3 linked regions of the Sus scrofa genome follow. The protein of the gene in region 1 purifies or fractionates together with the protein of each later gene. This does not show direct contact. Links are inferred from orthologs where the notes say so. Each region holds a gene or a part of one and is shown on either strand. Other genes may lie near its edges.

Region 1 (3,650 bases):
CCAGTTAAAGCAGAAACAGCAGTGTACTGTTCAGCATTGTTTGAATAGTTAACCATAAAGGACAGATTTCACATAGAAGAAAAGTACCAGTAAGGAAGTCAAACTTGGCAGGGTAATTGACGGCAGTTTTTGAATAAGTTGTTGTTAAAGGAGTCATGGACCTTTTACCTTTGGCTGATGAATTTAATGGTTTAGCCAGCACAGATCTTCAACATTTAATTGAATATGTGTGAAATCAAGACTCGTAGCACTCTCACCTTTAATATGTTTTAAGGAAATTGATGCCCAAAGTAAATTTGTTAAAAATTGAGGGTTAATTGTGTATCAGCAGGGCTTTTTGTGCTTTAATTGCCTTGGCATCTTCGTCTTTAGAAATTGAACTTCATAAACAGTCTTAGAAAGTCCATTGTTCTGTACCTGATCATTTCTGTTTTATCTTTAAGGTCTTTTTGGTTCATCACGGGTACAATATGTTGTAGATCATGCAATGAAAATTGTTTTTCTCAGCACTGATCCCTCCATTGTAATGACCTATGACACTGTTCATGGTTTGCATTCTGTGTGGACTCTCCGGAGAGTCAAAACAGAGGTAAGGATACAGGCAAGTCACTTCTTGGAGTTCTCATTGTGGCTTGGCAGTAATGAGTCCGACTAGTATCCATGAGGACTCGGGTTTGATCCCTGGCCCCGTTCAGTGGGTTAAGGATCTGGTGTTGCCATGAGCTGTGGTGTAGGTCGCAGACATGACTTGGATCTGGCGTTGCTGTGACAGTGGTGTAGGCTGGTAGCTGTAGCTCCAGTTTGACCCCTAGCCTGGGAATCTCCATATGCCGCAAGCGCTACCCTTAAAAAAAAAGGCAAGTCATTTCTTAATATGAAAGGTTAGTTAGTGCTAAAAACGTTGCATGTTTTTGGAAGAATCGTTTGTGAAATATGTTGAGTGTCTTAGAAAAAAAAGTTATATTTTTACTAACTGGTAACTACCCTGTATTTTCACAAGAAATTGCCCTTTTAATCCAGTTTTTGTCTCCTCCCCCCTTCTCTTTTGATCTAAGGAAGAGAATGTTGTTTTAAAGTTCTCGGAACAGGGAGGAACCCCGCAGCATGTGGCCACTAGCAGCTCCCTCACAGCGCACCTCAGAAGCCTCTCCAAGGGAGATTCCCCTGTGGCCTCCCCTTTCCAGAACTACTCCTCCATTCACAGCCAGAGCCGCTCAACCTCCTCTCCCAGCCTACACTCCCGCTCACCTTCCATTTCCAACATGGCAGCTCTCAGGTGCGACCTAAGTGTGGAAGCCTTTCCTTGTTCTAAACCAGACACCCCAAGAAAAAGATCCCTTCTTTTTAAACTCCTCTTGTGATTTGAAGGATTTAAAATTTCTCTTGACAGTTTCTGAGTATACTTTAGGAAAAACAGCATTATTCCAGTTGTGCTAGCTTTACTAAGACTTCCAGGCCTGCTGTGTTACTTTTTCAATGAGTCATGTTTAGAAGCCAAGGGTGCTTGTCATGAGATTGCCTCACACAACATTGTAGATCAGCTGTACTAAAAATCAACTAAAGGATTGCCTCATTTTTACCACTAAGTGGCAGAAGTTTAATAGGTATTAATTGCAAAAAATATTTTGGTACTATTTTCTTTTGTCTTAATTTGCATTAGCTTTTGTTTTCATTAATATCTGTCTGGTGCTATAGAGACATGGTTTTGTTGGTATGTATACATCTGAATGTACAGGAACATAGTTTAGACTTTTTTGAATAATATAAACCATTTTCTGAGGCAGAAAATGACTAATTTTCAGTTTTTTAAAAAATGAATTCTAACAGGGATTCTAAATCTATGGAATATACTAACGCATGTTGACACACCATTTAAGTAGCTACTGCTTTTTAAAAAAAATTTGTTTCTGACTGGGTTGATGCCATGAATACTCTGTACATAGAAGTTGGAATGTGTTATTGGAAAGTATGTGCTATCAGCCTGCATTATTAATTGTGATGCTCTCTTCTCTGTTTGCAGTCGTGCTCATTCTCCTGCCTTAGGAGTGCACTCTTTTTCAGGGGTGCAAAGATTCAACCTTTCAAGCCATAATCAATCTCCAAAGAGACACAGTATTTCTCATTCTCCAAATAGTAATTCTAATGGCTCCTTTCTTGCACCAGAAACAGAGCCAATTGTTCCTGAACTTTGTATTGACCATTTGTGGACAGAAACAATTACTAATACAAGGTTTGCAGTATGTATTTTCGTATTCAATGAAAAATGATGCTAAAAGTTTTGCTTAAAGCTTCCTTTGAATATAAGCCATCATTAATACTTAAGAAATACATGGAGATATATATTAAGGCTACCTCAGTTTCAGTAGAGCATATTAATTATATTAAGGTGATATCTTAATATTCTTTTGCCATTTGCTATTTCTTCCTTAAGTTAGTAGTAGTAATCTCTCACATTTGAAGTGTTTGATGTTTTAGGGAGAAACAACTGTTTTCTGTAGATTAGGAAACTTGGATTTTATAGCATTTTTTCTTAAGTTTTGTCCTTATGTTAGTGGGATATCAGCTGTTTTGGGAAACAAACTCAGATCTCTTTCCTGTGTGACCTTTCTCCTTTTATTTTCTCTTTGTGAGTGCCCGTGTGTGTGCTAGCGACTGTAGGTTATTAGTCAAGTAAGTCACCATCCCTGTCCCCAAAAAGAGATAGCTGGCGGATGGTGACACAGGAGGCACTGCTGTGTCTGCTGGTAGGGCTTTGGCAAGGTGACTCAGTATTTGCTGGCTGGGTAAATGGGGCAGGACACAGTAGGTGGTTAGAGGGGATCAGAACAAAAGTTCAGAAGTGTGATGTGTGGTATGTTCCGGAAATTACAGCTACTGTCAAAAACCTTGTTTGTGCAGGAGGAAGGGAAAGGACTGAGAAGGAGGAGGTTGAGAGAGATTGCCCTAGGGCTGTTGTGTTTGATGAGTGCTGCTGTAAGAAGGTGCTTTAGATGTGAGTCATAAACTCAGGGGAAAGAGCAGTTACTTATCAGTGGTGATTGAGGCGAGATGGGTGGATTGGAATATCCAGAGTGTGTAGAGGTCTTGTTCTTGGAGGGCCTGTGTATGAGCTTGCAGTTGTGGAGTTCTGGTAACCCTCTGGAATCAAAAATAGTAATTGTGTGTATGTGCAGTATATAGGATTCTTAAGGAGAGGGTTTTACATTCATTAGGATCTCAGACAGCGTCTGAGACCTCCAAGTAGTTGAAGCCAGGTTGTGTAGAATCAGAAGAGGGCCACAGACTCAAGTCCTGGAAATGTAAAATTTGGAGGTGAAAGAAATAAAGCTGAGGCAGAGGGACAAAGCAAGAGCAGTCAGGTGGGAGAAGCATGCAGGAAAAGTCATAGAACACAAGAAAAGAAGCTTTTAAGAAGGAGATGCCGGTCTTGCCAGTGCTGGTGAAGCATGGCACTAGGAGGTGGTGCCTGGATGGCAGTAAGTTCACTGCTGACCTCGGACAGGGCACCTGGGGGACAGGGTAGAGTGGAGTGGAAAAAGTAAATGGGGACTGAGGAGGTGAACTTAGATCCAAGGAATTGGCCTTTGAATGGGAATGAGGGTACAAAACCAGCTAGAGGAATCTCAGGGTCAAGGGAGAGTTGTGTTTTT
Region 2 (3,750 bases), on another chromosome or scaffold:
CCGAATAAAATTCCAGAATAACACTGTGTTCTGTTCCCAAGGAAGGGGAACTGGTTAGGAAATACATATTGGCCCTTTCATTAAAAATTAGAAAAACCTTTTTCATCCAAATGTAATATCCAAATTGATCACTTGGTGGCGTCCCAAAACTGGAACAAAACAGCTCAGGAATGGTCTTAGAATTCAGGGCCTATTAGGAATAGAGGAGGTATGAGTGTTCAATCCTATGTCACATTCACAGCAAAAAAACCAGAAAGTCCACATGTAAATGAGAAAATATGTACCAAATACATGAATCCTTACAAAAGTTCAAAATGGAAATTTACACTACATGTTTACAAAAGATTCTAAAAAGTTTATGTTTTCTAAAAAGAATAGTCTTCTTTCAAACTCAGAACTACCATTCAGTACACAAAACAGCCAGGGTTGAAAAGCGGAGTGCAGAATTAGCACTAACTTTAACATAAATAAGCAGTTTTCCACTTAAGTGGAAAAATACAACCAAGTAATTTCTAGCTTTAAAAATTTAGGTGAGATTCTGAGTGCTACCAGCAGGTGGTATGTGATGAATGAAAGTGAAACAAACAATAAACCCTAGTTTGTAACTGTTCTATGAAGGCAGTCACTTGGATCACCAGAACCAAACATTATGCTTGGCCTATACTAAGTAGCTGTTGATTTAAATAAATGTTTGCTGAATGAGTTAAGCATTTCACAGAACCACAAGATTCCTCCTTTAAGGTCATCTAATCCACTTCCCTTATTTTACAGATGACCAAACAAAACTGAGGTGTAGAGACTTTAGCTTATTTGCTGGGCCATATTTTAAACAATGGCTTTTTGGCATGTCATGTGCCATGTGAGAGGTGAAAGAGCATAGTGGTTAAGAGGTCAGGCTGAAGCCTCTTGGTCTAGGCTCGTATCTGTATGACTCGGGACAAATCATTTAACTTCTTTACTCTTCAGTTGCCTCATCTCTAAAATTGGGATAATGATAGTGCCTACCTCAGACATGTTAGGAAGCTTAATATAATTAAAGCAATTTGAACAGTTATAGGTACAGTAAACACTTAATATTAGTTATCCAAAATCACTAATGATTTTTTCCTGAATCATTTTTTCCCTATGCCAGATCAGTTTTTTTAAATGATTTTTATTTTTTCCATTAAGTTGGTTTACAGTGTCCTGTCAATTTCCTACTGTACAGCAAAGTGACCCAGTCACGCACACATATATACATTCTTTTTCTTACATTATCTTCCATCATGCTTCATCACAAGTGACTAGATATAGTTCCCAGTGCCATACAGCAGGATCTCACTGCTTTATCCAGATCCCGGTTTTTCATACTTATTGTTTCAACACACTCAAGGGAAAAGTTATTACTCCCTCCATTTGACATATAGTCAGCACACTCCTAGAGGGGAAAGAACCTGCTCAGAAAGAGGGAACATGCACTTCACACTAACATGCACTTCACACTTTTAAGGTTCATAATCTTAGGAAGAACCCCTTTCTTAGGAAAAGGGGGAGGAGTTATCTTTTTACCCTGGAGGCCTAGCACAGAACCTGGATCACAATTTCTCCTGAATAATGAACAAATGACAGAACACAGGGCGAGCAGCTCAGCAAAGGTTACCCAGGGGCTAGAGAAGATTGGTATGAAGAGGACTGGTTCATTATCATTTTGTTTTTCTTCCTCATTCTGCAGATCTATTTACATAACTCTTTCTCCCACTTGGCTGCTATGCCCAAAGTTGATGCTCTGTAAAATTTTGACAAATGTTTAAATACTGATGATGAGGTAACCTGGGATTTGACGCTATCAGGAAAGCTGGAACTATTAGCAGTAGCGATCCTTGCAGTAGAACAATGCTCTCTGGGGAGATACAGCACGGCTGTGTTCACATTGGTGAGATAATCAACACATTTACTTCATATACGATGGGGATGACCTCGTATTCATAAACTACTTTCCTTCCTGGCAGATATATACCTATCTTAGAAAGAACCTTTTCCTTTTAAAAATGTCCTATCATAAAGATACTGAAGGAAGTACGCTGGTACAATGGCAAATTATTAGAAGCAATTATTAAACTCCATCATCAAGAAAACATTCATTCCGCTGTGTTTCACTTAAACAGCTGGATTACCATTCAAAAAGATGTGCAGCTAAAAACAAGTGGGGCGGAAAGAAATGGGCTGCCAAGAGGAGGGATCAGAACGCCAACGGTTCTCAAGCTACCTCCAAGTCACAGCCACAGCCTCACCCCCACCCCCACCCCGACCCGCCATCGAGTCCCCAGAGGGCTACGCCAACAGCGCCGTTCCACTGCGCAGGCGCCAGCCCTCGGCCCGCATGCGCACTAGCCAGGCGCGGCCTAAGGAAATTTCCTCTTGCACGCCCTCTGCGGCAGGCTCCCATTCCTCCTCCTACTTTCTCCATTTTACTAGTCCCTGCAGGTAGGATCCCAGAGATCAAGTCCCTTTCCACCAGGCTCTCGAGGGTCCCTGAGCCCTCGGCCACTTACCTCAGCAGCTTTGGCACTTTCCCCTACAGCCCCGCCCCCAAGGCCGACTGGTGCGGCCGAGTTAACATCGACAAGGGCGGCGCCGTGCTCGCGCCCGCGTGGAGGGACCGGCAGCGGCGTGCGCGTGCCCCTTGCAGTAGTGGGCGTGGCCGGGGCGGAGAGGACTTCCGGGTCCTTCTCCTCCTCGTTCCCGGATTTTCTTTTTGCTGTGGGGTCCGTATTTCTCCGCTACCTTTGGAGTACTCGTTTTATTTTTTCTTGCTCACTTTTGTCATTTAGGGTTTTATCTTAACGCACGGCATTTCAGGCCTTCTGCTTTGCTCTCTCTTACCAAACCGTCACGCTGCAGGGTTAAATTTGTTATTCCGCCATCCTTCTGAGCAGACTCGTATCCCAAGGAAAGGCAGATGAACAGCTTCCTATCTCAGACAACGCTCTTTCCCAGAGCTCAGTCTCAGCGCCCTTCCTTAACATTAAAATCTACTTTTGTGGAGAGATTTATTTGAAAGGTCCTGGAGGAATAGGGCACTAGGATGTAAAGTCATTAAACTTGATAATTATACCCCTTCTGACATTCAAGTCTGTTTATTTTACTTATTATTTTATTCATTTTACTGCTAATCTCAACAGGAAATCACCACTTGGTTCTGTAAGCAAATTACCAATTAAAGCTATTTTCTTGCTGGGATTGGGTTGAGCGTTAGGGTATTTAGTGAGAATTGATTTTTTGAGGGGGAACTCTAACTTATTTTGGGCTTCATGACCGTCTAACACATATAGTGGGAACATTGGTTGAGCTTAACTATGGCTAGCCCATAAGGAATCTTTGTTTCCAGATTTTTTTTTTCTTTTTTTCAGGCTGCACCCACGGCATGTTGAACTTCCCAGCCTAGGGGTCGAATTGAAGCTGTAGCTGCCAGCCTACACCACAACCACAGCAACGTGGGGGATCTAAGCCCACAGGAACTATACCACAGCTCACAGAAATGTTGGATCCTTAACCCACTGAGCAAGGCCAGGGATGGAACCCGCATCCTCATGATTCCTAGTCGGGTTTGTTAACCACTGAGCAATGAAGGGAACTCCTCTTTCCAGAATTATTGATTCTTTAAGTGATGTTTAGAAGCTTGGCCTCTCAGTGAAGTGATGTACAGTTTGGGGGCCCACAGAAATTGGATTCCTCCCCTCAGCAATGTGTTCGTTTGGAGAACCATGTTGC
Region 3 (3,750 bases), on another chromosome or scaffold:
GTCAAAAAACTAACAATAGAATTGCCTTATGATCCAGCAATCCCACTCTTGGGCATATATCCAGATAAAACTACAGTGCAAAAAGATACAATTACCACTATGTTCATAGCAGCACTATTCACAAGACATGGATGGAAACAATCTAAATGTCCATCAACAGATGAATGGATAAAGAAGATATGGTATGTATACATACATAAAACGGACTACTACCCAACCATAAAAAATAATGAAATAATGCCATTTGCAGCAACATGATGGACCTAGCGATTATTAAGGAAAAGTCAGTCAGAAGAAGAAAGTCAACATCATGTGATATCACTTATATGTGGAATCTAAAATACAACACAAATGAACATATATATGAAACAGACTCAGACATAGACAACAGACTTGTGGTTGCCAAGGGGGAGGGGAGTGAGGGAGGGAAGTATTGGAGGTTTGGGGTTAGCAGATGCAAACTCTTATATGTAGGATAGATTAACAAGCACAGGGAACTGCAGAGCACGGGGAACTGCAGTCAATATCCTGTGATAAACCATAATGGAAAATATGAAAAAGAATGTATGTAAGTACAACTGAATCAAAAGAATGTATGTAAGTACAACTGAATCACTTTGCCGTACAGAAGAAATTAACGGAAATTATAAATCAATTATACTTCAATCAAAAAAGTAAAGCCGCCTGCAGGTGCCCATAACACCTGAGGGGGGGCGTGGCACTTTTTGCCTAGAGCTCCTGTGGCAGCCAGTGCTGCCCCTGGCGCCTGATTGAAATATTTAATTCCAGCTGTTAGGAATTCCTCCCCCACCTACAAATAACTTTTATGATGTTAAACACTTTTTATTAATTTATGAAACACAAATTCCTCTCAGACGCATTTCAATTGAGCATGTATACATTCTGAGGTGTCTTTTGTCTGCAGCCAACTGTAAACCCTCAATAAAGACTGCAGTTCAGAAGGCTGGTGTAACTCTTACTAAAAACAAAAACCCCAAAAACCAAATTGTACCGCTTCACACGAGGCATGGCGGGGAAGGAATTGAGGTTTGTTTGTTTGCTTTTTTTCAGGCATTTCAGTAGCTGCCTATTATCTTGGGGGCGGTGCCTCGTTTGGATCCGATGGACCCCGGCGGGGCCGCCATTTTGGAGTCTTCTCTAAGGAGCGTCTACCGGCTTTAAGCGCTGGTGCCGCCGCTCCCCGCGGCCTGGCTGGGCGGAATGAATGTGATAGACCACGTGCGAGACATGGCGGCCGCGGGGCTGCACTCCAATGTGCGGCTCCTTAGCAGCTTGTTACTCACAATGAGTAATAACAACCCGTGAGTTGAGGCGGGGAGCGGCCTGGGGCTGAGGAGAAAGCGGTGCGGGTTTGGGAGCGGGGGCTGAGGGGTCCGGAGACTGGCGGGAAGAAGCGGCTGCGGGCTTCAGCTGACGTTCCGGGGTCAGCGAGGGTCTCGCTGGGCAGAGCCGACTTAGGAACGCTAGTTGAGTTTACTAGGTCCCAGCGGTAGACCAGGCACTGGGATGAGCTCCCTGTGGGGGATTCGGCGAGCGGCGCTTTCTAGATATGGGAGGCGGAGGCTCTGAGGACGACCCTGGCGAGCGTTCCCCGAAAGTTAGGAGCAGAGGTTTTCTGAGGCACCTGTCGCCGGGCATTGCGCCTGTCACATCGTTGGGCTAACTCCTCCCTTCCCTACCCCTTTTCGAAGGACATTTCTTCGCTCGCCAAGGCTCAAAGAAGCCCAGTTCTAGTTTTAGACTTTCGTCCCACATCTGAGATTGATCTTTCCTTTTGGGTATATCAGCAAGGTTCTCTTAATCGCCCCCGAAAATGGGAGACTTTCTTGGTAAGTGGGAGTGGCGCCTTTTTAAGCAGTGCCTCTTTCTGTTTGCAAAGCTGCCATTTTTAGAGTTTTATTACAGGTACAGCACAGGGCTGTTTCCAGCTTTGAGTGCATATCGTTCCTCTGCTTAAATTTCTCCAAAGTGCTTAAATTAACATTCCTTCCCACGGCCTAGGAGGTCAAATATATAGCTCTCCTGCTCTATCTCACCTACTCTGCCCTCTGTACTTCAGCTTCCCTGTCTATTCTTTCTGTTACTTGAACAGACCAAGCTGGTTCTCAACTCAGGACTTTTGCATTTCCTGTTCTGCTTGGAATCCTTACCTCAGAGCTGCCTCCTCATGTAGGTTTCAGTTCAGATACATCTCTTAGAGAACTCTTCTCTGGCCATTAGAATTGTCCCTTATTCTCACTATTTTATTCCTTTGCTCTGTTTAACATTTTGCGTCTTTTTTTTCCCCCAAACTGAGGTGTAATTGACATATTAGTCTCATGTGGAACATAATGATTGGATATTTGTGTGTTTAGTGTATCTATTACTGCACATAGTTACAGATTTTTATCTTATTTTGCTTTTTTAGGGCTGCACCTGTGGCATAGGGAAATTCCCAGGCTAGGGGTAGAATGAGAGCTGCAGCTGCCAGCCTACACCACAGCCACAGCAACGCAGGATACATAACCCACTGAGCAAGGCCAAGGATAGAACCCACATCCTCATGGACATTAGTCAGGTTCTTAACCTGCTGGACCACAATGGGAACTCTGAATATTTTTTTCTTGGGATGAGAACTCTGTTTTTTTGGCAGCGCCCATGGCATGTCAGGTTACTGGGACAAAGATTGAACCTGCACCACAGCAGTGACACTAGCTGCCGCAGTGACAACACCGCATCCTTGACCTGCTGTGCCATGAGGAAACTCTGTGATAAGAACATTTAAGATCTATAGTCTGCATCACTTTTTTGTGTTACTGGTTTTTTGTTTTGTTTTGTTTGTTTTTTGTCTTTTTGTCTTTTTCTAAGGCTGCACTCATGGCATATGGAGGTTCCCAGGCCAGGGGTCTAATCGGAGCTCAGCCACTGGCCTACGCCACAGCCACAGCAATGCCAGATCTGAGCTGCGTCTGCAACCTATACCACAGCTCACAGCAATGCCAAATCCTGAACCCACTGAGAGAGGCCAGGGATCGAACCCGCAACCTCATGGTTCTTAGTCGGATTCATTAACCACTGAGCCACAATGGGAACTCCTGTTTTGTTTTTGACCTCACCTGCAGCGTGTGGAAGTTCCCAGGCCAGGGATCAAACATGCACCCACAGCTGTGACAACACTGGATCCTTTAACCAGCTAGGCCAACAGGGAACTCCTTTTGTGTCACTCTTTAACATCTAATGAAGTGAGCACAGTGCTTTTGTGCAGCAAGCACTCAGATGTTTATCATTGAATGTGCTGAGGAAGGGCATACAACCTCAGGAAGGTAAAATACCATGTTCAAGTTCACACATTTAATAAGAGGAGGAGCCACAATGTCTGGATTTTGGTCCTCCTGACTTGGAAGTCTCCATTCTGACCCACCGCAGTCTACTGCGTTTAAATGACATTATAATCTTCTACTCAGGATGGACCCATTTACCTTTGGCCTTGCTCTAGATGCTGTCTGAGCCACTTAAAAGTGTGTTGCCACTATTGCTACCTATTTCATTTTCATTAATGTGCTTTTGGACCTCACTATGTGAGACCCATCATTTTACCACTGTCTACTTAGTACAGACAGTGTGGAGCACTGGTCTCTGTTAGCCTTCTTTGTTTATTCTGGAGGCTTTCACCTAGTTCTGGGTGATTTGTCAAAGCATAGTGTCTACCATTTGGAATTTATGCACCAGTTAGTCATTGTTTTGGGTTCT

Evidence for each region.
Region 2: the proteins of ANAPC1 (region 1) and ANAPC16 purify together in Homo sapiens (co-immunoprecipitation; 5 studies listed by BioGRID and IntAct, with this or other methods). This does not show direct contact. The link is inferred for Sus scrofa from reciprocal best matches to the Homo sapiens genes ANAPC1 and ANAPC16.
Region 3: the proteins of ANAPC1 (region 1) and ANAPC7 fractionate together in Homo sapiens (co-fractionation; 6 studies listed by BioGRID and IntAct, with this or other methods). This does not show direct contact. The link is inferred for Sus scrofa from reciprocal best matches to the Homo sapiens genes ANAPC1 and ANAPC7.

The regions. Positions count from the first base shown.
Region 1 is NC_010445.4:44,521,934-44,525,583, forward strand, and holds part of ANAPC1 (anaphase-promoting complex subunit 1), read left to right. Parts: intron 1-443; coding exon 444-589; intron 590-1,055; coding exon 1,056-1,276; intron 1,277-2,020; coding exon 2,021-2,230; intron 2,231-3,650. UniProt on the Homo sapiens protein: Component of the anaphase promoting complex/cyclosome (APC/C), a cell cycle-regulated E3 ubiquitin ligase that controls progression through mitosis and the G1 phase of the cell cycle.
Region 2 is NC_010456.5:75,081,596-75,085,345, reverse strand, and holds the start of ANAPC16 (anaphase-promoting complex subunit 16), read right to left. Parts: upstream 2,674-3,750; 5' UTR 2,532-2,673; exon of another isoform or gene 2,365-2,531; intron 191-2,364; exon of another isoform or gene 98-190; intron 1-97. UniProt on the Homo sapiens protein: Component of the anaphase promoting complex/cyclosome (APC/C), a cell cycle-regulated E3 ubiquitin ligase that controls progression through mitosis and the G1 phase of the cell cycle.
Region 3 is NC_010456.5:31,787,116-31,790,865, reverse strand, and holds the start of ANAPC7 (anaphase-promoting complex subunit 7), read left to right. Parts: upstream 1-1,115; 5' UTR 1,116-1,221; coding exon 1,222-1,322; intron 1,323-1,712; exon of another isoform or gene 1,713-1,834; coding exon of another isoform or gene 1,835-1,850; intron 1,851-3,750. UniProt on the Homo sapiens protein: Component of the anaphase promoting complex/cyclosome (APC/C), a cell cycle-regulated E3 ubiquitin ligase that controls progression through mitosis and the G1 phase of the cell cycle.